3 linked regions of the Alligator mississippiensis genome follow. The protein of the gene in region 1 interacts with the protein of each later gene in a pairwise test. Links are inferred from orthologs where the notes say so. Each region holds a gene or a part of one and is shown on either strand. Other genes may lie near its edges.

What was found.
Region 2: the proteins of PRKAR2B (region 1) and TAF12 interact in binary tests that used the Homo sapiens proteins (3 or more experiments, as listed by UniProt). The two-hybrid records come from large-scale screens. The link is inferred for Alligator mississippiensis from reciprocal best matches to the Homo sapiens genes PRKAR2B and TAF12.
Region 3: the proteins of PRKAR2B (region 1) and KIF5B interact in binary tests that used the Homo sapiens proteins (3 or more experiments, as listed by UniProt). The two-hybrid records come from large-scale screens. The link is inferred for Alligator mississippiensis from reciprocal best matches to the Homo sapiens genes PRKAR2B and KIF5B.

What each region holds. Positions count from the first base shown.
Region 1 is NC_081827.1:27,443,302-27,451,328, forward strand, and holds the start of PRKAR2B (cAMP-dependent protein kinase type II-beta regulatory subunit), read left to right. Parts: upstream 1-4,834; coding exon 4,835-5,141; intron 5,142-8,027. UniProt on the Homo sapiens protein: Regulatory subunit of the cAMP-dependent protein kinases involved in cAMP signaling in cells. Type II regulatory chains mediate membrane association by binding to anchoring proteins, including the MAP2 kinase.
Region 2 is NC_081829.1:10,174,583-10,182,816, forward strand, and holds the start of TAF12 (transcription initiation factor TFIID subunit 12), read left to right. Parts: upstream 1-5,110; 5' UTR 5,111-5,124; coding exon 5,125-5,193; intron 5,194-7,895; coding exon 7,896-8,147; intron 8,148-8,234. UniProt on the Homo sapiens protein: The TFIID basal transcription factor complex plays a major role in the initiation of RNA polymerase II (Pol II)-dependent transcription.
Region 3 is NC_081828.1:192,942,669-192,950,816, reverse strand, and holds the start of KIF5B (kinesin-1 heavy chain), read left to right. Parts: upstream 1-4,965; 5' UTR 4,966-5,171; coding exon 5,172-5,297; intron 5,298-8,148. UniProt on the Homo sapiens protein: Microtubule-dependent motor required for normal distribution of mitochondria and lysosomes. Can induce formation of neurite-like membrane protrusions in non-neuronal cells in a ZFYVE27-dependent manner.

The sequences.
Region 1 (8,027 bases):
ATGGCTTATGAGGAGCGGCTAAAGGAACTAGGCATATTTAGCCTGTAAAAGAGGGGCACCTATACATGAGTGCAGATGCTGTTCCAATGCGTTGGAATTCCAGCATATTGGAGCAGACTCAATTAATCAAGTCTGCTGGAGCGTGGCAAATGTCATGCTCCAGTAGCCTCCTGTGTCTTGTGTGTCAGTGTCCCCATGCCTACAAATGGCAGTGGGGGTACTTGAAGTAAAGCTTGTCTGACAAGCTTTAGTTCAAGCACCCCCACTGCCACTTTTCAGTGCGGGGATGCTGATACATGAGATACGATGGCGCTTTAGTGCCAGCCCTCCACACCCACCTGCAGAGCACATGTAAAAGTGCCCAAGAAGACTGAGGGAGGATTTAAGTAGCCTTGAACTACCTGATGGGGGTTCCAAAAAGGAAGGAGCTAAACTGTTCTCACTGGTGGCAGATGACTGAACAAGGAGCAATGGTCTCAAGTTGCAGCAAGGGAAGTTTAGCTTAGATATTAGGAAATTCTTTCTTGCTAGGAGAGTAGCAAAAGCACTGGAACAGGTTACCTAGAGAGGTTGTGGAATCTCCATCCTTGGAGGTTTTTAAGACCCAGCTAGACAAAGCCTTGGCTGGTATGATCTAGCTGGGGACGGTCCTATTTTGAGCAGGAGGTTGGACTAGATCCACAGCAGGGACTGTCTTTTCATCCATCTTTGTATGGTTCCCAGCACAATGGGCTCCTGCTTGTGCTCAGGGCTCGTAGATCTTATGGAAAGACAAATAACAGCATTAATAAAGATATGTAACACTAACAGAGACAGTGATAACAGCATAAATGGAAGCTTTTTTAAAGAAGTAGAACCAGGAAATTAAGATGGCTCTTAAATGGCCAACCAGACTGCATGTTCAAATCTGCAAGGGAAATCTGAGAAAAGAACTAAATACTTCATGCAAAATTTGGACAGTTGAGAATAATCCTCAAATAAAATTTAATTTGTGGCATGGGACAAAGGTGCTCAACCTCCTGCCCCCGCAGGCTGGATGAGTGGCTTGGAGCTGGCTCACAAGCCAATTCCCACAGGCAGGTTTGGTTTGGGGGCTGGATCCAGCATAGGGGTAGTGTACAGGGTCTGTGGGTACAATATAGCATGCTGGTCTTGCCCCATGCATTGGATCCAGCCATAAAGTGACTTCACACACCAGGGTGATCCAGCACACAGGGCCATGTCATCTGGCCCATGGGGTTCCCCACAGGTCTGGAAATGTTGTGGTGGCAGCAATGGCTGTCCTCAGGTGACAGCTGCTTGAGCTGCGCAGTGTGGATTTATGCTGCTGCTGTGGTGAAAAAACAGGCAGCAGGGCAGGCTCCCTGAGGTACCTCCCTCAACCCCTGGGTGCAGGGCTGTGGCTCCCATGGCAAAGCCTCCTGGGGAAAGGGCATCCATTCCACTCCTGTCCCCCAGATACACTACTGGCAGGAGAGCTGTGTCTACCCTGCTCCTAGGGCCACAGACTCATAGGGAGATGGGGCATACTGGCACCCTGAGTTAGTGCCCCTCTTACCCTACCCTAGTTGCATTAGTGTTGCTACTGTCACCCAATTTCCAGGAGCCCCACAAGCTGGATGACTCCAACCTGTGGGCTGGATTAGGCCCACAGACTGCACCAATGCCATAGGAAACTTTGGCTTTTCCTTGCTTGAAACAAAATTCTGGAGCACAAACCATCCAAAATAGAGAGAACAAAGTAACTGCTTTATAAATGCCTGAAGTGGAAACAAGAAGTAGTGGGGGTCTTACCTCTGACTAAAATCAGTGCTGGCAGGAGCTTTTACCTGACCATGAAGAAAGAAAATGCAGATGGACTTTTACTTGCTTTTGCGGGGGAGGAGGGGGGGTGTTGTTGTTTTGGAAACAGCATTGCCCAGGAATATGTCCAAAACAAAACAAGAAGGGGGATGGCATTTCTAAGTGTGATCGATTATGCCAAATATAGCTTCAGGGAATGATGGCATGGGGCTTTTGACACGGGGCTTCCCCAGGATGGGCATGCAAGTGCTGCAAGATATTGGCCGGTTGATGAATTTATTTGTATGGAACTCTAGCGTCCGTGGGAAGGTATTCTTGGGTGAATCTGCAGCCTTTTCAATCAAGTCTAAGATGAGTCCATCACTAGGGGCTGAAGCTCACTTTTATGAGCTGAGTCACTGCTACCAGAAATGGCCTTTTAGGTAACAATTTAAATTCTCAGGACTGGAATTTTTTAAAGGAATTTTCAATGATTGTCCAGTAGCACATTTATATTATAAGACTTTTTAATAGAGAAGCATTACTGAACCTAACTATATGAAGCCACATGGATTGTGCTCAGTCTTTGATTAATAATGAACCTAATTTGCCAAAACAGCTGCTACATGTCCCTGGATATAGATAGTCACTTGGTCACATTCACACAAGTGAAGAAGGCAGTTAAGCAGTCTTTATGCTAGGACACACAGGGATCCACTTGAACCTCAGTGCAAGGCCTGTCCAAAACCTACATATTTCATCAAGTTTATGTGATTAAAACACACCAGTTTGTGTAGCCAATGGCACACAAAGGGATTATGTGATTGGCATCACTTCTGGCCACCTTCAGCTCTTTGACTCCAATTACCAGACAGATTTACATCTGCATTGCCTGGGGGTTACCTTTGGCATGAGTCTAAAATGACGTTTAAACTCTGGCTTGCAGATCCATAGTAAGACACTTGATCCACTCTGTCACTGTGCTTCAGCTCTCAGTGCACCATATCATAATTTTTTTTTTGATTTGGAACTGATGTGCTTCTGACAGATTGCTTGCAAGATGCTTATGTAACATGAACAACCTGCTTGGAAGCACTAGAAATGTGGACTGACAGAAGCACTTCAGGTTGGAACAGACCACAATACTCCCAGTGATCACTTGAGATTAAAATCTTTGTGCCACAGATCATCAAAACTCAGATGCCAGTGTTGAGAACCATCCGTATTTGGATCAGGATGGAGCTATTAAGACCCTCAGGCTAGGGACAGAACTTAAACATAAACTGGTATAAGTGATTGGAAACTGGTTCAGATCTGTAGCGCAACACAAGTTTAGTGCACATAAACTGCTTTCAAAATGGCCAAAACTGGTTGAAGATAAACCTGGATGGGTGCAGTATCAAATTGAACTGATTTAGCTTAAATCAGTTTATTGAACTTCTGTCCCAGAGCTCCTCCAGGTTCAAGTTAACTCACAGTCCCCCAGCATCCCAGGAAGCTTTGCACCTCCCTGGGCAGCTAGGTTTGGCCCAAGCTGTTTGCCAAACAGGGAGCTGTGCTCTAGTGCCCCCCTGCCTGGCTTCTGGCCTGAGCCACTGCAGGTGTGTGTGGCTGCATTTCCAGAATCAAAAGTGAATGTCTGTTCACTTGCTTATCTGTTCAATCTACACAGCTTAGACTATCTGCAAAGCAGGGCCGTTGCTGGGGTGGGTGAATTGGTGCGCCCGCCCCAGGCCCCACAGAGCCGGACGGAGCAGCCGTGGCAAGTCTGTGCTGCCACCAGCTTCATGTCCAGCTGCTTGGCACCCCCCATCCCTGCCGAATCCGCCACTGGCTTCCTTGCATCTGTGGGCCCCACACAGCCTGATTTGCCTCGGCCCCCACGCTGCTCAGGTCATCTCTGCTGCAAAGATTGAATTGATTCAGCCTCAGGCTTTTTGACTGTCTGTATTTAACCTCAAAGTATCTCAGGGCAAATACTGCGGGATCACACAATATTCAGACTTATACTGAGAGGTGAAAAATGCTATGGACATATATAGAATATTCTAAGGCTATTACTGTAACACCACTCTAAGAGATTAATCAGTGTTTACTGTTCTTGGCTCACTGGGTGGGATTCATCACTGGGTAGGAAGTGCAGTCACCAGTTAATTAATACAAGTCACTAATACATGATGCAATACCAATAGCGCAGTTCTCTCTCTCCCCCTTTCAGGGAAATAGCAGCCTGGTTTGTTGCAATTCAAGAGGAGGCAACCTGCAGAGAGCAAGGGCCCCCATTTGGCAGGCGCGTGCACTTGCACTGGTGCTAAGAACCCCACACCTGAGCCCGGGCCTTCCCGGGTGCTGCGCTGCAAGCTAAACAGGTGTGGTCCAGGCTTGGGGGCTGGTCCCTAGCCCTGCAGGCTGGATGCATGGCATGGAGCTGGTTCACAAGCCAATTCCCACAGCCAGGCTCAGTTTGTGGGTTGGATCCAGCACACGGGTGGTGTGCAGGGTCTGCGGGTACACCACCTTGGTAGAAGTCCACCAGCTTGGTAGGTGGACCTTGGTAGAAGTCCCTTGGTAGATGTCCACCAGCTCCACCCAAGGGCAGGAGCTTTGCCAAGCAAGCCACCTGGTGCCAGCGCAGCTCTGGGGTCCCACCGTTGTCCCCCGCTCTCCTAACAAGGGCAGGAGGCGGGTGAAACTGGCCCATGGCCCTTTCTCCTGGAAGGCCGCGGGGCCTCAGCGCGGGGCTGACTGCGGGCTCTGCGCCGGCGCCCACCCCGAGGCACCCCGGGGGGCGGGTCTCCCAGGCCGCGCGGGGCCGCTGTGCGGGGCGGGGGCGGGGCGGGGCGGGCTGGGCCGCCGCAGCCCCGCGGGGGTTGCCATGGTTTCGCGGTCACATGCGCGCGAGGTCCCCCGCGGGGCGGGCGGGGCGGGATGCTCAGTCGGTGCCGGGGCCGCGGAGCGCGAGCAGCTGCTGCCGTCGCAGCTGGAGCCGGAGCCCGGAGCCGGTCCCGCAGCGCCGCCCCGCCCCGCCCCGCACCCCCTCGGGGCTCCCGGCATGAGCATCTCCATCCCGGCGGGGCTGACGGAGCTGCTGCAGGGCTTCACGGTGGAGGTGCTGCGCAGCCAGCCCGGCGACCTGCTGGACTTCGCGCTCCAGTACTTCGGGCGCCTCAAGGCGGAGGCGGAGGCGGCGGCCGAGAGCGGCCGCAAGGCGGGGGGGTCCCCGCCCGGCCATGCCCGCGCCGCCGGCCTCGCGCCCCGCCGCGGCCCCGCCGCCGCCGCCAGCGCCCGCGGCGTCAACTTCGCCGAGGAGCCCGTGCAGACCGACTCCGAGAGCGCCGACGACGAGGACGACTTCCCGGGTACGGTCGGGCCGGGGTCCCTGCTTCCCTCCGGCGGGCGGGCGGGCGGGCCGGGTCCCTGCTCTGGGCCTGCCGCAGCCCGGCGGGGACCGGGGGCCAAACCTACCGGTCTGGGATCTCCACCACTGCCTGCACCCCAGGGTGCCCCGAGCACCCCTCTGCCTGGTACCCTGTACCCAGGGGCAGGCAGCCCCCGGCACAGGGGCCCACAAAGGCATTTTGCTTCTGGGGGCTGGGGCTGCGCTGCCACTACAAGGACGGGACCCTTCGTGTCTCCCTTGCCACCTGCCCTTGGCGGGCCAGGATCTTGCAAAGGGAGGTAGGTGGTGGGTGTTTTTGGCACTCTGCTCCCTGCTATATACCTGGCGCTCCACCTCTAGCTATAGCCTTGTATACCTAGCGTTCCCCTGCTAGTTAAACCGGCACCGTTACTTCTGTCATATATGAACAGGCAGCAGCGGTGCATCCATTGGCTCTGGTGCTCTGTGGCTGCTGGACATAAGAACGGAGCATGTAAGAATTGCCGTCCGTTGGGTCAGGCCCCCTTCTCGGTGCCCTGTGTCACAGGGTGGCAGAGAGTGGATGCGGAAAGGGAGAGTGAATTGGGTAGGACCAGGGCTTTTTTTTTTTCTTTCTTTTGACCCCACTGTTCCTCTCTCACTTGCAGCCCTCTGGCATTAAAGGTCTAGGACTTACTGCATGTGCGCTTAAATTCATATTTCAGGGGTGTAGGTTGTAGCCATGTTGGGCTAAGGAGATGGGCAGACAAGGTTCTTTGGGTCACTCCAATATCTTTTATTAGACAAACTCAAATAGTTGAAACGATTCTTCTTAGCAAGCTTTCAGGCACTAACACCCTTCGTCAGGCTGAGGAAGCATCTGCAGATGGTCTGTGCTCCTTCTTCTTGGGTGGAGTGGTAAAACAGCCAGTACCTATGCAAGAAAGGCAGTTAGTGAAAATGTAAATTGAGGTGATGGGTAGGTGAGACACAGGTGGGGTGGAGGGGGAATGAATGTAGCTGTAGTCAAAGGATGAGACAGGAGAGGGAGAGGGAATGAGAATAGCTGGTAAAAAGTGGAGGGTTTACCTGGGGAGTTAGATGTTAGGCAGGTTATAATGTGTCATAAATCCAGTGTCTATATTTAGTCCATGATTTTTTTGTATCCATGAAGTGAAGTTCATAGGCTTGTCTATGAAAGGTATTTTGTAAATTCCCTTTGGGGATTAGAACTGAGAGATTGGAGAGAGACTGGTTGTCTTGTGAGAAATGTACCTCCACAGGTAATGTGCCCTTCCCACCTGTCTCTCACCTACTGACCACCTCAATTTCCATTTTCACTGACTGGCTTTCTTGAATACGTACTGGCCTCTGGATGCTTTACCACTCCACCCAGGAAGAACACAGATCATCTGCAGATGCTTCCTCAGCCTGACAAAGGGTGTTTGTGTCTGAAAGCTTGAAGAATTTTTCCAACTATTTGAGTCGATCTAATAAAATATATCCCAAAGAACCTTGTCTGCCTTAAATTCATATGGGATTTTACATACACACGCTCCTAGGTAATTCCATGAGGTAGACAGCAAGAGGTTAATATATTTTTCAAGTCCTGCTTAAATCACCTGCACAAGGGCCCAAGGCATGAGCATAGCTGTGAGGACAGCAAAAGAAGGCTGCAGGACCTCACCTGATTTCAGGCTCAGACTTATCTGTTCACAGCTCAAAATGTATTCTTTTTGTATGGCTGACAGGATTTATTGGGGACAGAGCATCTCTGTATTAAGGGGACAAGGCATAGCTGCCTTTGAAAAGGTGCAGAGCTCTCTGTTTAGGTAATGGGAACCTGAAAAGCAAAGGCTGATTGGTAAGTGGGGTTGAAGACTAAGGGAAACATTTTCATCATTCTGGATTTTCTGAGAACAGCTTGAACTTGCACTACGTTATTAGCTCACTGGAGCATTTCGCCCTTCCAGATCAAGTTCCAGCTGTATCTCATAGCAATGTCCAAAAGCTTGCAGTTTGCTAGCTGAACTGCACAAGCTTTTATATATGTGAAATATTTTAAGTAATGCCTTATATGCATTTTTTTTCCAAGAAAGCCAGATATTTAAAAAGCTCAACAGAACAAATTTAGCTTACTTAAATAACACTCATAACTTCCCAGTGAAATTTAGATGCAACTTGCTTATGATATTAAACATCCTTTCAATCTATACTTTGCAGCTAGAAGCTACTTGGCATATGTAATTAAGAAGCGTTTGTAGTTATCAGTCACATACTGCAGATTTACATGATGGTTTTGAACTCTTTTGAAACTGATGACATCATCTTTGAGGTTGGCATAAATTCCTAAACCATTAGTGAACTTGGAAGCTGGCACAGAATGATAATGAAGAAGAACTGAAATAATATCATCATTCTTTGATACTGAACATAGCTTGTATCAAACTTATAATGTAGTCGGCTGTTTAATCAGTGGTAAACAGACTGCAGGCATGTTACATTTACAGTGTGGCAAATAGAGCAAAGTAGCATGAATTTATTGGAATATGTGTGTTATGTGTGAATGTTTTCAGGTTGTTTTAAGAAGCCTTCTAAGAATTATAGTGAATATTTGCAATCAAGACTTTATTCATGGTCACTGTTTTGTAATCTTAAAAAAATCAACACAACTATAAATAGTTTCACATATAAAAAAGTCAAACAAATCTTTTAGTCAGCTTATTAATTATATGTAGAATAACTCTAGAAAGCAAAATGTGTGTGAAATGTGGGAGTCTTTTTAAAGTTTTATTGTGTTAAGGCTTGTAATGTGCATCAGTCAGAATAATGAATAGTTAATTAAGTAGCACAACATGTAAACATTTTTGGAACTGTTCATAGCTAG
Region 2 (8,234 bases), on another chromosome or scaffold:
CTCTTTTTCTGCAGGGGTGTAGGTTGTAGCCGTGTTGGTCTAAGGACGTAGGCAGACAAGGTTCCTTGTGTGAATCTGATATCTTTTATTGCAAGCTTTTTGGGCTCAAAGGCCCTTCATCAGGCTTTGGGAAAATTAAAGATGGTAAAAAGTCCCCATAGATAGGAAATAAACTTCATTTTTTCACAGAGGGAGCTGGAGATGAAAAAGCTATCCCTCTGGGTCCATGAGAGTATCTCTGAGTGTCTCTGAGCCGTTCAGAGTTGCTCTTTGTTGTGTAGATCAGTAGGATTCCTTCCCTGGAGGTGTCCGATGGCAAACAGGGAGATTTAAAACTATTTCTTGTTCTGTAATGAAATTTAAAATCCAAAATTGGCTAAAATTCAGCATCTTCCATGTTCCACTGATAGACAAGGTTCTTTGGGTGAATCTGATATCTTTTATTAGACCAACTTAAATAGCTGGAAAACAATTATTAAGCAAGCTTTCGGATTCAAAAACCCTTTGTCAGGCTGAGGAAGTTTGAGCAGTCGGTGTGTGCTCTTCCTGGATGGAATGAAAAGTGAGGAAGCCAGCGGCTGGGCTGCTCTGCATACAAGACAGGCAGTCAGTGAAAGTGTAGGTTGAGGAGTCAATGGGTGAGAGAGAGGTGGGGGGAGTGGGGAGAGAGAGAAGGGGGATGAATAGTGGGGAGATACCCAGGGAGTCAGCTGTCAGGCAGGTTATAATGTGTCATAAATCCACTGTCTATATTTAGTCCAGACAAGGTTCCTTGGGTGAATTTGATATCTTTTATTAGACCAACCCAAATGGTTGGAGAATAGTTATTAAGCAAGCTTTCGGGTTCAAAAACCCTTCGTCAGGCTAAGGACGCTGCAGCAGTTGCTGTGTGCTCTTCCTGGATGGAAATATTTAGTCCATGATTTTTAGTATCCGGGAGGTTGATGAAGTGGAGTTCATAGGCTCGTCTCTGGAAAGTGTTTTATAAGTTTCCTTTGAGGATCAGGACTCAGAGATTGGAGAGAGAGTGGTTTTCTAGATTTTTTCCAAGCTTTCAGGCTCAAAGGCCCTTCATGAGGCAGTGGGGACATTTTAAAGAGATTTCTTTTTTTTTGCAATTTCCTAGTTGGTCTAATAAAAGGTAGCATTTCTGAACCAAGAGTTCTAGCGTTTTGCATTTCTTTCTGTCTCAGACCAACCCAGCTACCAAATAGCCCCCCGGCCTATACATGACACATACCCATAATTCCTATGATACAGAAACGTGTGCTAGTGCAGAAGGCGCAGACCCATGCCGCTTCCCACCCGCAGTAAGGAAGCCGATCCCGATCACACACACCATCTGCTCTTGCACCAGGGAGAGGGGGGCGTCGGAACAAGCGATTACCAACAGCCCCAGGAGCAAAAATTGTGCTTCCGAAATCTCTTGATGTCGATTCCGCACGGGGCAGGACAAGCCGAGGCCAGCCCACCCCACGTGTCACTCACGACAGAAGCCCTTTTTAACTAGCGCGCTGCGCGGCCCAGCCTCCACAGGCGAAGCGAATTCTTTACCAGTGAGGGCGAGTCGCCAACTTTCGCGCAAGAAGATACGTCCAGTCCCTCTGAGAGCATCCCCGGGGTTAGCTCCCCCTCTAGCTCGTCCTTTCCCCGCAAATCTCTGAAAATGTGCACGCCGCTGCACAGTGTTAGATGCAAATCCGCGCGCGGCATGCTGGGATCGCAGCATGGGCGGGGCCAGGGCCCAGGAGCGCTCCCGCCCACGTGCGCGGCGAGGGGCAGTGACAGGAGAAAACCGCCTGGGTTTGAACGGCGGCAGCTTGGTCTGTAAGCAAAGGCTCTGCCCCAGCTGTGCAAGGGGAGACCACGCCCACCAGGCGCTGTCAAACCATAGCGCATGCGCAGCTCCTCCGCGTCGGCGGGGCGGGGTCTGGCCGGCGCCGGGGAAGTGCTTCCGGGGCGGGCAGCGCTCGCGACCCCGGAAGGACTCTCTGTCGCGAGGCAGAGCCGGCAGCGGCAGGTCGGACCGAGGCGGTCGCCCGCGGGCCATGGGGCGGTAGGCGGGAGCGGTGAGTGCGGGGCCGGGGCGGGGGAAGGGCGGCGGCACCGCGGCGTCCTGCCCCCGCCGCCAGGTGAGCGACCCCCCTCCCCTCCCCCACCGCCCGGCAGCCCCGGCCCCGCCGCCCGCTTCCCTCGGGGCTCGGCCCTGGGGCCGCTTTGCAGCCTCCCGCGCTCAGGGCGTCGCGATGGATCCTTTCCCGCCCTGACCCCGCCGCTCCCGGAGCCGAGCGGGGGGTGTCACCCGCGACGGCCGGGGCGGGGCCTGCCTCACCTGTGTCGAGCCCCGCGGGGGTGCGAGGGCCCCGTTGTGGGCCGGGCGCCAGGGACAGGGGGCGTGGCCTGTGTGGGGCGCAAGCTTTCAATGCGGGGAAATAAAATAAAATAAAACAAAGCAGATGTCTCTGCCGGCCGGACTCGTTTTGCCTAGACTCACCTGCTGTAATTATCCCGGGAGCCTCGCCGAAGGGATGGCTTTTCCCACGAGCGTCAGTGACACCTTGACGCTCGCCCGGTCCTCCTTTGGAGACCGGCGTTTCAGATGACGGTTTATCAAGGTTTAAAACCAGACCTCTGGTCCCTCCCCAGACTTTGCTCGGAGGGAGTATTTCCCAACCTTGTGATGTCGTTCAGCTGTGTCTGTCTGCTTTGAGGTTAAAATACGGTATCGTTTTTTTGAGAGTTGTTTTTAATTGTTTTCTTCATTTTAAATAAAATATATTCTCTCTTGATGAAGCATCAAGCGACAGCACCGTTTTTTACCGTTATGTTTTCAGCGCTCGTATTGAAGTCAAAGTAGGGTAGCGAATGTATTATATAATGTGTTCTCCTGACCTCATACTTATTAAACTGATTAAAAATGAATTTTTAATTCTGGAGTTGGGAGGACTAGTTGATCTTGTTTTTTGTTTCCCCCCCTCCCCCAAGTACGACTGGGTGGAATTAGCCTCTGTTCATGTTCAGTTCTTTCAACCAGGTAAGGATTCATATAGATGGCCATGGATATTATATCCGGTTCTTCCTTTTACAAGGTTTGCTGAAATATGTGCACATTTTATACATTAAGTTTTGACTCGGCACCCTTAAAGGCGACAGACTAAGCAGAAACATTTAGCATAGTTTGTAAATTTTGGTCTTCGATTATGATGAAAAAATAAGGTAAAAAAAGTTTTGTTTTTTTCCTGCTTAATTCTTAGCTGAAGATTTTGGTTTTTGCCTTCTCCGGTTACCGCAGTCTTGCAGAATTGATGTTGCAAGGTTGAAAGTAAGTGGGGGGGAGACGAATTTTCAGCCACTGTTTAGACATTTTTTAATATATATTGAAGTCCAATGCTTCATTACTGCTTAGTAGAAAGGAGATGCCCTCAGATCATGCACCCTGTCCCTTAACTTAATTTATAAGTTCTTGCAATGTAGCTCTCAAGATATACAGCATGTCCAAAGTGGTCCTCCAGAAAAACATGGAGAGGCTAAACTTGACTTGTAGTATTTCTAAGGTGAAAATCAGAGAAGAGAATCCCCTTGCCTTTTCTTTATCCATTGTAAAGAAGCAAAAATTTAAAGCCTATTAAAAGAAACAAAACCAAACAAACAAAACCTTTTCAGTCTTCTAAAGATGTCTTAATTCAATATATTCCCCACCTCCTAGAAATGGGAAGTGCAAGCCATCTGGTGAATGGATCAACAAGCTATTTTATTTCACTATACAGTAGACTCTTAACTTTATCTCCTAGTATAACACTAATAGCAGGACATAGCAAGTTACTATAGAGATCGCTCAGGTGCCAGTAGCATTAGTTCAGGCTGTGGCAAGAATGCTGCTATTGCACAAAATGGTGCTAGTCTTTACCCAAGTGCTCTCTTCTAGCCCAATACCAAGAAGTCCTGTGCTTAAAATCTGGCAAATGAATGAAGTTTAACATAAAATTCTGCTTTCCTTTCAAGACCCTGGGAAATATCTTGTTTGGCAATATATGCTAGGTTCAACAGTTGCTATTTAAATACTGGAGGGCAGGGAGTAGATTCAGGCTGACCTGGACAGATTGGATCAATGGGCAGAGAGAAATAGGATGCAATTTAATAAATATAAATGTAAGGTACTCCACCTGGGAAGGAGGAACCCCCAGCACACCTTTAGGTTGGGGAGTGTCCTTCTCAGCAGCTCAGAGGCAGAGAGGGATCTTGGAGTCATAATTGACTCCAGGATGAACACGAGCTGGCAGTGTAACGAGGCCATCAACAAGGCCAATCGCACCTTGTCGTGCATTAGCAGGTGCGTGACTAATAGAACAAAAGAGGTGATGCTCCCCCTCTATGCGGCACTGGTCAGACCGCAGTTGGAGTACTGTGTCCAGTTTTGGGCGCCGTACTTCAAGAGGGACGTGGGGAATCTCAAGAGGGTCCAGAGGAGGGCCACTCGCATGATTAGTGGCCGTTGTGATAGACCCTATGGGGGGAGGTTGAGAGAGCTGAATCTCTTCAGCCTTCACAAGAGATGGCTGAGGGGAGATCTTGTGGCTGCCTGTAAATTTATTAGGGGAGGTCAACAGGGAATAGGTGCCGCGCTGTTTACTAAGGTGCCCCAGGGAGTGACTAGGAATAACGGGTGTAAACTAGTTGAGAGTGGATTTAGGTTAGATATTAGGAAGAAATTTTTCACAGTAAGGGTGGCCAGGATCTGGAATGGGCTTCCAAGAGAGGTGGTGCTATCACCTAGCTTGGAGGTCTTCAAGAGGAGGCTAGATAGTCACCTGGCTGGGGTCATCTGACCTTGGTCCTCTTTCCTGCCAGGGGCAGGGGGTCAGACGCGATGATCCATTGTGGTCCCTTCTGACTCTACAATCTATGAATCTATAAATAAGTCTTTATATTAACTATCCAGAAAAAATAACATCAGATCCAGTTTAATAAGCACAGAATATACCCATTTGTATATTTTCTGCCAAAGCCTTTTTATGATATGGTACATGATTATATATAAAACTTTTGCTGTCGGACTGGGAGCTCTGAAAGAGGAGGAGGGAGACCAGGTTAATACTGTCTTTATTTACAGGAAGATTTTGGAAAATGGCCTCTCCATTCACTGGGCCAACAGCAGTTGCTGATGTAATTAAAGATCTAGACACTCAGATAGCTGTAAGTAAATTGCTTGGGCTTGCCATGACTTGGCATGCAGGAGTTGATGTGAGGACCTGCAGATCTGTATTTGGCTTACTTTCTGACAAACTTGGTCCCATGCAGAGGATGAAATCAGAGAAATTTCTTTGTACTGAGACCCACTTTAGGGTGTAAGATTTTTAAAGCATTTCAGAAAACATCATTTTACTCTCTCTCTGTTATGTCAGAATTTCTTCTCCACAGATGTGTCAATTAAGGCTAGCTGGTGGCTGAACCTGTATTAGAACCCTGGTTCTTGCCTTTTTGCTGGTCCTTGCCTTAAGCTCTGGATAAGCGTCTCACTTCAGAAATGACAGATAAGAGTTCCTAGAGTGCTGTGTGAGTTTGGAGAATACCCCAAGGCATGACAGTGGGGATTCTGCATCATTTTTAAAGGCTGCTAAAATGAAACTAGAAATTGTTGTCAGAGCTATGTGAAATGACTTGCACTTATGTTGACTTACAAAGACAACGTGGTTTGTAATGTTTGCAGCAATGCATGACTTAGTGTTGGAATGAAGCACTAAAATATCCATTTTCTAAGCATTTTTGTGTGAATTTTTTGTTTTTCTGTATGGGTTAATACAAACTAACAAGAGAATTTGCTTGTACAGATAAAAAACTGACTTTGTAAGTTAGGTGTAAAATGTGATTTCTGTTAATTTATATGAGCTTTCTGTTTTTCCTCTAAGTTATTATTTTTCAGCTTTTATTAGGTGTTGGTTTGAAAAGAGACTTTTTCCAAACAATATTCTTTTGCAGAAGATCTAAAAGACAAATTCAGTGTAACATAAGTAGTTTGGGGGTTTCAAATGATGGAACATAAACTACTTAAAAATGACATAACTGATATACAGAAAATATTTTATTAATCAATTCCATAGGCTGATACAGGAAACATCTGTGTGAATGGATGTACACTTAGACTTTCAGAGTTAATACAGCTACTTCTAAAGTCTCCAATTTCTCCTCTTAAATCACTTTACAGTATAATACCTATGCTTTCAAATAGTGTGAATGTACTTTTAAATGAATTTTCTAAATAACTACTCAAAATATCAGCTCTTACTGAGGATTGGTAGAGACTGAGATGATGGGTAGAGATAATAGAATAGTGAATGACTTGTAAGAGGCTTCAGATGCTCTTACTCTACATCAGACTCCATAGTAAATATTTGTAGTGTGTTAAAAAGAATTACTGCAGCGTTTCCTTAATGTTGTTGGTGAGAACTGAAGAACGCAAGTTTGCGTAGAGCCTCCTTGTGTCCAGAAAGAAGCCAAACTGACTCTGTAGTGATATGCACTATGTTAGGAAGAGTAGGTAGCTCAAAAGATTTACAACCTATTTATTCATCTAGTTGGCCGGTTCAAATCCAATCCAAAATTATTTTATGTCTAATGGGCTATAATGTAAATTAGTCCAAAAGCCTTATGGCTAAACTGGCAGGACCAGGCTTATTAAATAAGCTTATGAGAGTATTAATTTCTGGCATATTGTTAGTAACCCACTAAACTAAATGTTCTGGAGCTGAAAGACTTAATGTGGTATAAGAAATGCGCTAAATCAAAGGAACTTGGGGCAGTGGTGTCCTGTCAGCTTCAGAGATCTGACTTGAAGATTACTAGGTTCACAGGTTAAATTGAATTCTACGCTATCAAGCCAGATGTATCATGTTGTCATTGCAAACTGTTGCACTAGTGGACATAGCAGTTTGGGCAGAAGGGTGATTTAGGCTTCAGGTGGTCCAGAGTGCTACATGCCAGAGCCATGCTTTCATCCTGGGTGCCTAGTCTAGCTAGTGCTTCTGCATGAGGAACTTTACCTTAATCTGCTCTGCTCAATTACAGAGCTGCCTTAGATGTAAAGACAGAGATTTCTGTTAATAGTATTGTGATAGCATCTCAGAACTCCATTGTTAACCAGGTCCACAGTGCTGGGCACTGTACAGACCCTGCCCAGAAAAGCTTATGATCTTGCTACACTACTTTGTTTTGTTAAATCATCCCAGTTGTATACCTCAAGAGATGTTCTTTGATCTGTTCCTCTAAACTAGGGGTTCCCTAAATGTTACCTTTTCATGCAGCTGAGTAGTAGGCGGGGTCTTTTTGAAACAGTTCCCAGGATGTGGTCCATGAGCCCTTTTTGATGTGGTCTGCCACCCAGGACTTTTAAATGGCCCTTCAGAGGCAAAAATTTGGGAACCCCTGATCTAAAATGTTAACAGTAAAAGTCTGGAGACCTTAAAACTGTTTGGGGGTGGGGGTGGGGAAAGGTGCAGACATAAGAATGAGTGACAATCTGTATCCGGGATCTGTAGGACACAGCCATGGAGTGAATTAGTTGTGGGACTGGAAAAGGGAATGTGAAGATTTGGGAATATGCTCAGGCTGGGCAGTCCATCTTCAGGCATGTCACTGGTTCTTCTCTTGGTGTGCTTTGCATCCACCATGCTGTCTGTTAAAGTTTCACATTTCAAAATGCAAAGAAGTCTCTTTCTCTTCCCACTGACTTCCCTCCCTCTCAAAATGTTTTTAAAGGCACCTAGGGATAAGATACTGGCCCCTGCCTTTGGTTTATGGTTATAGTGCAGACTTTTGAAGGGATTGGTTAGAGAAGGAAATCCCATCTCTGAATTCACATTTAACCTACCATTAAGCTTGTGGTTTGTTTGTTTCTTTAGCTGATCGGTTTGGGTCCTCACAACCCCAAAAAGAAACAGGATCTTGATAAGCTGTATGATTTAAAAACTAAAGCCCAGCAGATTATGAACCAGTTTGGCCCATCTACCTTGATCAACTTATCCAACTTCTCCTCGATAAAGCCAGAACCTGCTAGCACTCCACCGCAGAGCTCCATGGCAAACAGTACTACTGTGGCCAAGATGCCTGGGACCCCTAGTGGAGGGGGACGCCTGAGTCCAGAAAGCAACCAGGTAATTTAATTTGAGGTTTGGGGAGGGGAAAAGGGTCATCTGTACAGGCTTTTCTGTAGCTTAATCTCTGTCTCTTCTTGAACAACT
Region 3 (8,148 bases), on another chromosome or scaffold:
TTCAGCTTTGTAAAACAAAATCTAGAATCCTTGAGCATCTTAACAGTGCAGCCAATACTTCACTGTCAGCCATTTCCACACCTGAATTAATATTACCACACCTGAGATCAGATTTTTAGCTAGAGCTAAAAACAGACTTCAGGGCTGTGAAAGAGAAGAGAGATATTACTAGGAACAGCTAACAAACAGCAAAATAGCTTGATCAATGGACTATCAACGCCATTAAAAAGGAGCAAAGGTCATTAACACTTGTGGAATGAAGAGAGATTAGCAGGGATCAGATAGATTATAATGAGTCATGAAGTCAATTGACTCCATCAGGATTGCCGAAATAGAAATGTTGCTGCACCTCTTGGGTAGTTGATTTTACATGTTGGGTGAAACAGGAATCAAAGGGAAGTGCAACTGCATCACTGCACTCCCTGGATCCCTGCAGTCCCTGTGTGTTGCAGAGCAGTTCCCATTAAATCTCATAATCCTCCCATGTAATGTAGAATCACTATCTCCCTTTTTCCTCAAAAAAGCAACAAATAATGCAGCTACCTTTAGGTGAAGGATAATGCTTCCTTTACTACGGACAGACTCCATCATTTTTTATTAATTTCACAGTACTCTTAAATATTTTAATTGGTGGATGGTGATCTCTGAAAGTGAGTAGGCTAAACTGAACTGAGATGTTCAACCCAGCACACAGGAGTGGAAAAAGCTTCCAATATCACTAACTAAACAGAAAAATGCTTATATCTGCTGAAAGCCACTACTCTGAAGACTTTAACTGTATTTTAGTGACATTTAAAACTTCACTCATTTTAACTGTTCTTCAGCTTAAAGTTATGAACTTCTTTACAAGCCATTGGTGGGTCATTTGTTAAGGTTACATATATTATCTAATCCCTGGCCCCAGGAGCAGTAGATTGGAATAGAAGGATGACAAAATCTGCCATTCAGCCCACATCCCTGCCATTGCTTTGAAAAAATGAAAACTGTTAGGTAAGAATGATGTAAACAGGTGACTTTTCCTAGGACAGATTCTCTCTCTCTGTCTCTCTTTCTATCATATCCAAACAGGATGTTGGGGACCATGGTCTTCCACAAATCTCTTGTCTTTGATGCATACAGAATTGCCAGTGTCTATACATTCATCCATTTAGATCAGTGGTCTCTAATCTTAACAGGTCGGAGATCACTTTTGGAATTAAAAGGAACGGAAGAGCTACCGCCCCCCTCCTCCCCCCCTGCCCAGCAGGTAAGTCTGTGGGGAAGGGCTGGGCGGGGTGGGGGACGGTGCCACAAACAGCTCCTGGGGGGTGCAGGGAGAGGGGGCACACAGCCCAGGAGGGCGGGGGGGGACATGCCCCCAGATCTGCATGCCAGGTGGGGCGGGGTGGGGCGGGGTGGGATGGGGCAGGCAGGCTGGGGCCAGGGCAGTGGCAGCGTTGGGCTGTTCCTGACCAGGCTGTGCCCAGGCTAGGTGGCTGCGGCAGCAGCGCTGGAAGCAGGGTCACATGGAATCCGTACCCACCCCAACCCCTGCTCCCAGCACTGCTGTCAAGCGCAGCATGGGCTAGGCCTGAAGGGAACAGCTTGGTGCAGCCTTCCAGCCCACAGCTGCAGCTCACCCTTCCCCATGCCTGCCAGCCCCCAGCCCCCAAATCCTTGGGGGGAGGAAGGGGCAAGGGGAGGGAAAGGCTGTGCCAGGCTGTTCCTGCTGGGCCTGGCCTACGCTGTGCTTGGCGGTGATGCTGGGAGCAGGGGTTGGAGGGAGACTATGGCCCACCCTTGGGTCCCCCTCCCTGTGCCGCAGCTACCCAGCCTGGGAGCAGCCTGGCCAGGAACAGCCCGGTGCTGCAACTGCCCTGGCCACAGCCTGCTCTGCCCTGCCCTGCATGCAGATCCAGGAACATGCATCCCCCAATGCCCGCCCAGGCTGCGTGCCCTCCCCCCGCACCCCTTTGCAGCCCTGAGCGAGCCTGGCTGCAGCTGTGGGCTGGGCATTGTGCTCTGAGGCCTGCTGCACGTGCCCCCCCGGGTCACTGCCCCTTCCCCCCCCTATTGACTGAATTGCCAGGCTTGTGGGATGTGGCATGCGCATGCACACACGTGCTCAGCCCCCACAGCCCAGGTCAACTTCAAGAGGCTCTGGGATCCGCCAGTCAATCCCGATCGACCAGTTGGTGACCACTGATTTAGACAAACTCTTGACATAAGTCAACCTCTGTCTTCCATGATCTCTCCTTCTTTCAGTCTTTCCAGTTATGACCAAACTTCCAATTTCCTCTTTCCTCATAACATGGTTCCTCTTTCATCATAATTCCAACTCTTTCTGATGTTAATCGGCAGGTTCCTCCTGCAGCCTGCTCTTAACGAAATATCTTAATTTGAAGTGTGACTTGTCCAATATACCTTCAAGATGTGCTTTAAGAACCACATCTTACTTGCTTCAATTCTCTTTTCCATACCTGATGATATTGTCCAGCATTCTGATGCATACATGAGGACTAGTATAACACAGCAGTCCAAAACTCTTAACCTCATCCCCATAGAAATTTTACTATTTGTCAATATCTTTTTCATTTTCAGAAATATGCCTTTTGCCATCACTATTCTCTGTGATCTAAGGATAGATACACCCAATAGGTGTCCATTGATTAGGACGGTGGTTTTCAACCTGTGGTCCATGGACCCCTCAGGTCCATAGACTATGTCTAGGGGGTCTGTGAAAGATAACTATGATCAATCAAAATTATGTGAAAATTCAAAACTGTTTAGGAGTCCGCAAATGAAAAAAAAACGTTGAAAACCACTAGACTAGGATTTAAAGGGGGGGGGGAGGAGCTGGACAATATTAGGCAATACGGGTGATTAACTCAAATTTAAAAAAATCTAGTGTAGACAAACATTTATTGGGATGTAAAGGTGGGGATGGATCTCTTCATCCCCCAATTCCCATTGACACCACAGTATAGCAACTGTAAGCACTTCCTTGCAGACATCCAGAAGACATTGGATCTACAAGCAGTCATAGAAATCAGACAAAATTAGGGTTGGAAGGGACCTCGGGAGGTTTCTAGTCCAACCCTCTGCTCAAAGCAAGACCATCCCCAACTAGGTCATCCCAGCCAAGGCTTTGTCTAACTAGGTCTTAACCTCCAAGGATGGCTATTCCACCACATCTTTAGGTAACCTGTTCCAGTGCTTCATTACCCTCCTAGTGGAAATGTTTTTCCTAATATCTAACCTAAATCTCCTTTGCTGCAACTTGAGACCATTGCTCCTTGTTCTGTCATCTGTCACCATGAGAACAATGGGCTGCAGCAGTTTCTAGACAATGAGTATTGACAGAGAGGACAGTCCAGTGGTATCTTTTATGTGGATAGATCCCATATTATTCTTATCTGTACCAGAAAAAAACAATTAGGAAAAATTGTTCCTAAATGAGAATGAAAATAAGGATTTTTTCTTTTTAAAGAGGTCATTATGAAGGTGCCAGATCTCCAAAAACCACTTAAACAGTGCCTTAAACGTTCATTCCCCCAAAACCACCATGCCATTGTTCAAGACTATCTAATTGTATATGTGGAGTTGAGGCTTTTTGACGACTTTTAAACAGATACGCTATTGCAAGCTTAAGTTGAACCTAGCAGCTGCTGGCACAAGATGCTTTGTACAATGTTTCAGCTTTCATGTAGGCAAAGGAATGTTTCATGGCACTGATCATTTAAACTCAAAGCCTGTCTTCATTTGCAGATGTCAGTATGAACATCGTGTGCCTCCCGAGGCTGGGGAGGCATGGCAACCTCCCGCAGACGGCAGTGACAGTGGCAGCAGTGGGGTTGTGGCGGCAGTGAGTCAGAAGCTCCTGCAGATGTGGGGGGACGGGCGGGGGTGGCAGTGGGTGCTGGCAGTGGCCAATTTCAGGGCTTGCACTGCCAATCTCAGGGGGTGCACATGCACCCGCATGCACCCCTGACATGTTGCCAATGGTTGTCAGCACTGCAATGTGGAGCTGAGGAGCTGATGCCCCATTCCCCAACTCACTGGGCAGGTGGGGAAAGGTACAGATGCTCTGCATCTTGCTTCTTTTCTGCCTTAGGGTGGCCATTGGTCCTGTTTTACTGTCAATTTTTTAAAACCTTTTGTCACCTGTCCATTTATGGATAAGGAATGAACAGCAAAAGGTCCTGTTTTTCAATGTGATGGAAATACATGTCTATCATCTGTCCTTGCAATTCTATTGGCTGTGCCAAGAGGTACAGCACTGCACAGCCAGGAAAGGCAGGAAGTGGTCTTTTTGTAGTGGCCCGCCCCCTTGCTGCTAATTGGCTAAGGGCTCCACTGGCCCCACCTCTCAGTGTTGAGGCTGTGGCAGCCCTGCCCCTCACTGCTAATTGGCCAAGGGTGGGGTACAGAAAGTGGTTGCCTCCCCCCTCACCGAAGGGATATTACCTAGTCTAGGGATGGGCCAGTGCCCCTCTATTCTGAGACCTGTGTGGTGTCCGTAGGAGCCTGAGTTTCACACCAAGGGGCTTATGCACATAACTCCCTATGTTTTCCAGTGGTGATTTCATACAGTCACCTGTGTGGTCCTGGGTGTCCTACCCCTTTAAGCTTGACTTACTAAAAATTGTTCCAGGGTTTCTCTTTTCAAAGATAAAATGACTGCCAAGAACACACTGCCAGAGACACTACAACAGCCCTCTAACACCTTCAACCGCCCGCCCCAAGACAGTCCCTCAGCCCCTCCCCTGGGCCACAACCCACGTGCGCCCTAGCTCGCAGCAACCCTGGGCCCGTGGCCCCGCCCACCCCAGCGTGCGCCTGCGCAGTGGCCTACCTGAGCCGGCACCCAGCGCTGTCCGCCCCGCCCACGCCGCGCCTGCGCAGCAGCGAGGCAGTGAGGGGGCGTGGTGCTCTCTGCAGAGGGTGACGTCACCCCTGCCCGCCCCGCGCGCGGGGGGGGGCCGGGCTGGCCGGCTGCGGGCGCCGCCATGGCTGCCATATTGGGGAGGAAGTGAGCGCGGGAGGCGGCGGCGGCCTGAGGTGCCCTCCCTTGTTCTCTCGCCTGGGCGCGGCGCGGAGGGGCCGGCGGCGGCTGGCGGAGCCCGGAGCGGGCGGCGCGGGGCTGAGCGCAGCGGGAGCGGCCGGCGGCGGCGGCGCGGGGCTGAGGGAAGATGGCGGACCCGGCGGAGTGCAACATCAAAGTGATGTGTCGCTTCAGGCCCCTCAACGACTCGGAGGTGGTGCGCGGCGACAAGTACATCGCCAAGTTCCAGAGCGAGGACACCGTCATCATCGCCGTGAGCGCTGGGCGCGCCGGGGGCTCCGGGCCGGGCCCGGGGAAGGGCTTCTGGCACTTTGGGGGTTGGGCGACAGAAACCCGGGTGGGGTCTGGCTCGCCGCCGCCTTCTGCCCCCTGCACGGCAGCCCGGGTCGGCAAATGCAGCGGGGTAGAAATCCTCGGGGGCGGGGTGGGGCGGCGGCTTTGAGCCCGTCCGCAGGGGGCGCACTGTGTGAGGGGGCTGCGAAAGATGACTGCGCTCAATCAGAAGTGTGCAAATATAAATGCCCGCACTTACCCTGCCAAGGGGCTGCTCCACTCGACATTTTTTAGGGGTCAGCAAATGAAAAAAGTTTGAAAGCCGCTGGAAGAGAAGCCGGTGCTGCCCGAATTATCGCATGAAAGCTCAGCTCTAGGGTTAATTTGCAGTAACTGTCTCCTCAGGTTTGGCTGCCCGTGTTTGTGGGTAAAGTGAAAACTTTTAATGTTTGTGTCTCATCTGTGCACCTTCGCCTTCAAGTGAATGTCTAGAGTGAGGCTAACGCGGGGTGGGGGGGCCGGCACCTCTCTAGGGAGGGGTGTTGCTTGGAGAGCATTTGTCTAGATTGCAGCTATGGTGCGCTTCCATCTTGAATCTGTGCAAGCCAAACACAGCTTTTCTCCTTGCATCTGGGCGTGCAAGTAGGACAAATGAATAACAGTAGATGGAGCTTGGAGACAAACCTTATGCTCTATGCCTCCCTAACAGAGCTCTGCTCTTATGCCTAAATCCAATGTAAAATGAATGGGTTGTTAATGTAATGTAGAACTAGGTCAATAGTGATTAAGCTTCTGAAAAATCAACAAATGCTTGTGAACTGAGCTGACTTTTTTTTTTGTTCTCTTCCGGTTGGCAGGCTTGTACCTCAAGCTGCATTAGTCCTCACCGATGCCTGGTCCACAGAGTTGGGCTGTATCGCAGGAGATTGTTGGGGTAGTGACCAAAATAGCAAACTTTCATTTTCATAACTGGGGCAAATTCAAACGCTTTCATATATGAGTATTCAGTAACAGGGGCATTATGAGTCCCATATGAAATTAAAAACTGCAAAGTTACTCCTAGAATTCTGGGTGATACTTTGTTCCCTCTATGCCGCCTACTGTTACTACCTTGTAGGCCAATGTGTAATTATTTCTAATTGGTCAAAGTCTTATATTTGAAATAGCAAAACTGAGGTAATTGGATTTTAAGAAACAGTTCCTCCCCTTGTCACTTAGGTTGAGTTAGGATCTTCTGTAGTGTGTAGTACAGCAAATTCACTTTGTCAGATGTTGTGAAAGGACCATGTAGGGCTTGAAATTGATGACTGGTTTGACCCCCCCCCAAATATGCACTGTAAAAACTTTTTAAAATTAAAAGTGTTACTTTGTAGGCCAGATCTAAACCTCCACTGGTCTCAAGTTGAAGACTTGGTATTTTTGGCCTTTGACCAAGGTCAAATCATTGCTAAACGGAGGAATATGGCAGGATTTGAAGTCCTTCTCCTCAGTATTCCAGCTGTTGGGGCTAGAAATCCATGCTATGGATGGATATGTTGAGATTCCCATCTTTCGGTAGTAAAAATGTATAGTCCTAACATATGGCAATATTTGTGGTTAAAAATTAAATAGTTTAATTTCTAGTGTTGAAATGATACTGTTGCTGTGATGATCCTGGAAATATACAAGAGGCAAGAATTCTTGTGGACTAATGAATGGCATGGTTGAAATAGACATGGACAAGTTTCAGGTATTGTAGCATCCTTCCTCAGAGACCTGAGGTGATGGGAGAGAGACTGAGTGAAGAGAGAAACCTGAGGTTGTACTTGAAAGTTTATCTATGTCTATCCTAACCACTCACTTGATCCAATGAACAATAGCTGCAATCACCCCTAAGAATTCCTGCCTCTAATTCTCTGTGATTCTAATACTTTCATGTTTTCAGGATCATTCAGCTCTTCTTTTTAAAACATCAGTTTGTAAACCTTAACTAGCGAGTAGATCTTATCTGAGGACTTGGCCAACTAGGACAAAATACCTATTCCACCCGTGCCCATGAAACAACTTTCATAAGGCAGCTCTTCAGTAAACTATATTTTTCATAGAACTGATTTTTTTTCTTCCTTCCAGCTATTTCTTAGCTGGCTTCTTCCACCACTGTATGGGACAGTAGCTGCCTCTTGAGCTCTTCTCTTCACAACAAATCTGAGCCAGGTTTCTCTTCACTAGTGGAGAGGCTCCTCCCATTTTCCTCTCCCCCCCCCCCACCTTATTTGCAAATCTTTTGCCGTGCAATTCCAGCCATACCCCCAACTGCCTGTTCTAGCCCCTGGATTCTGCTCCCTGCGTGCCTGTGGACTCATTTCATCTGCCCAGCCAAGCACACCCTGTCTGTGGGGGGTCCCTGCTGGTCTCCATGGAGGCCCCGACTGCCTGCTTTGTCTGGAGCCCCTGCCAGTTGGTGCAGGGCAGAGAGGTCCAGGCTAGATAGGATCAGTTGTCCCCACCCTGTCGGCAACTTCCACTCCCCCTGCAACAGCTCAATAAAATTCCTAAAATGGCCCTCCAGACAAAATAATTGCCTACCCTTGGAATAAGGATTTGCCTGCCCCTTGCTTATCTAGCCACATTTGGTAGAGCTACCTCTAATGGTGGCCAGAAAGCAAAGACTAGGTATCAGTTAGGAGACAGGGTGTGGGAATAGAATGTATTAAGACTGACCTAATCACTCTGGTTTTGCATGCTGGTGACTAGAGTGGCCAGCTATTTTGCCATAGCTGCCTGTTGCACCTTGCCAGTAGGTGGTGACAGAGCTACTGATAGACTGATTGCATCAAGCAAGGAGCTACCAC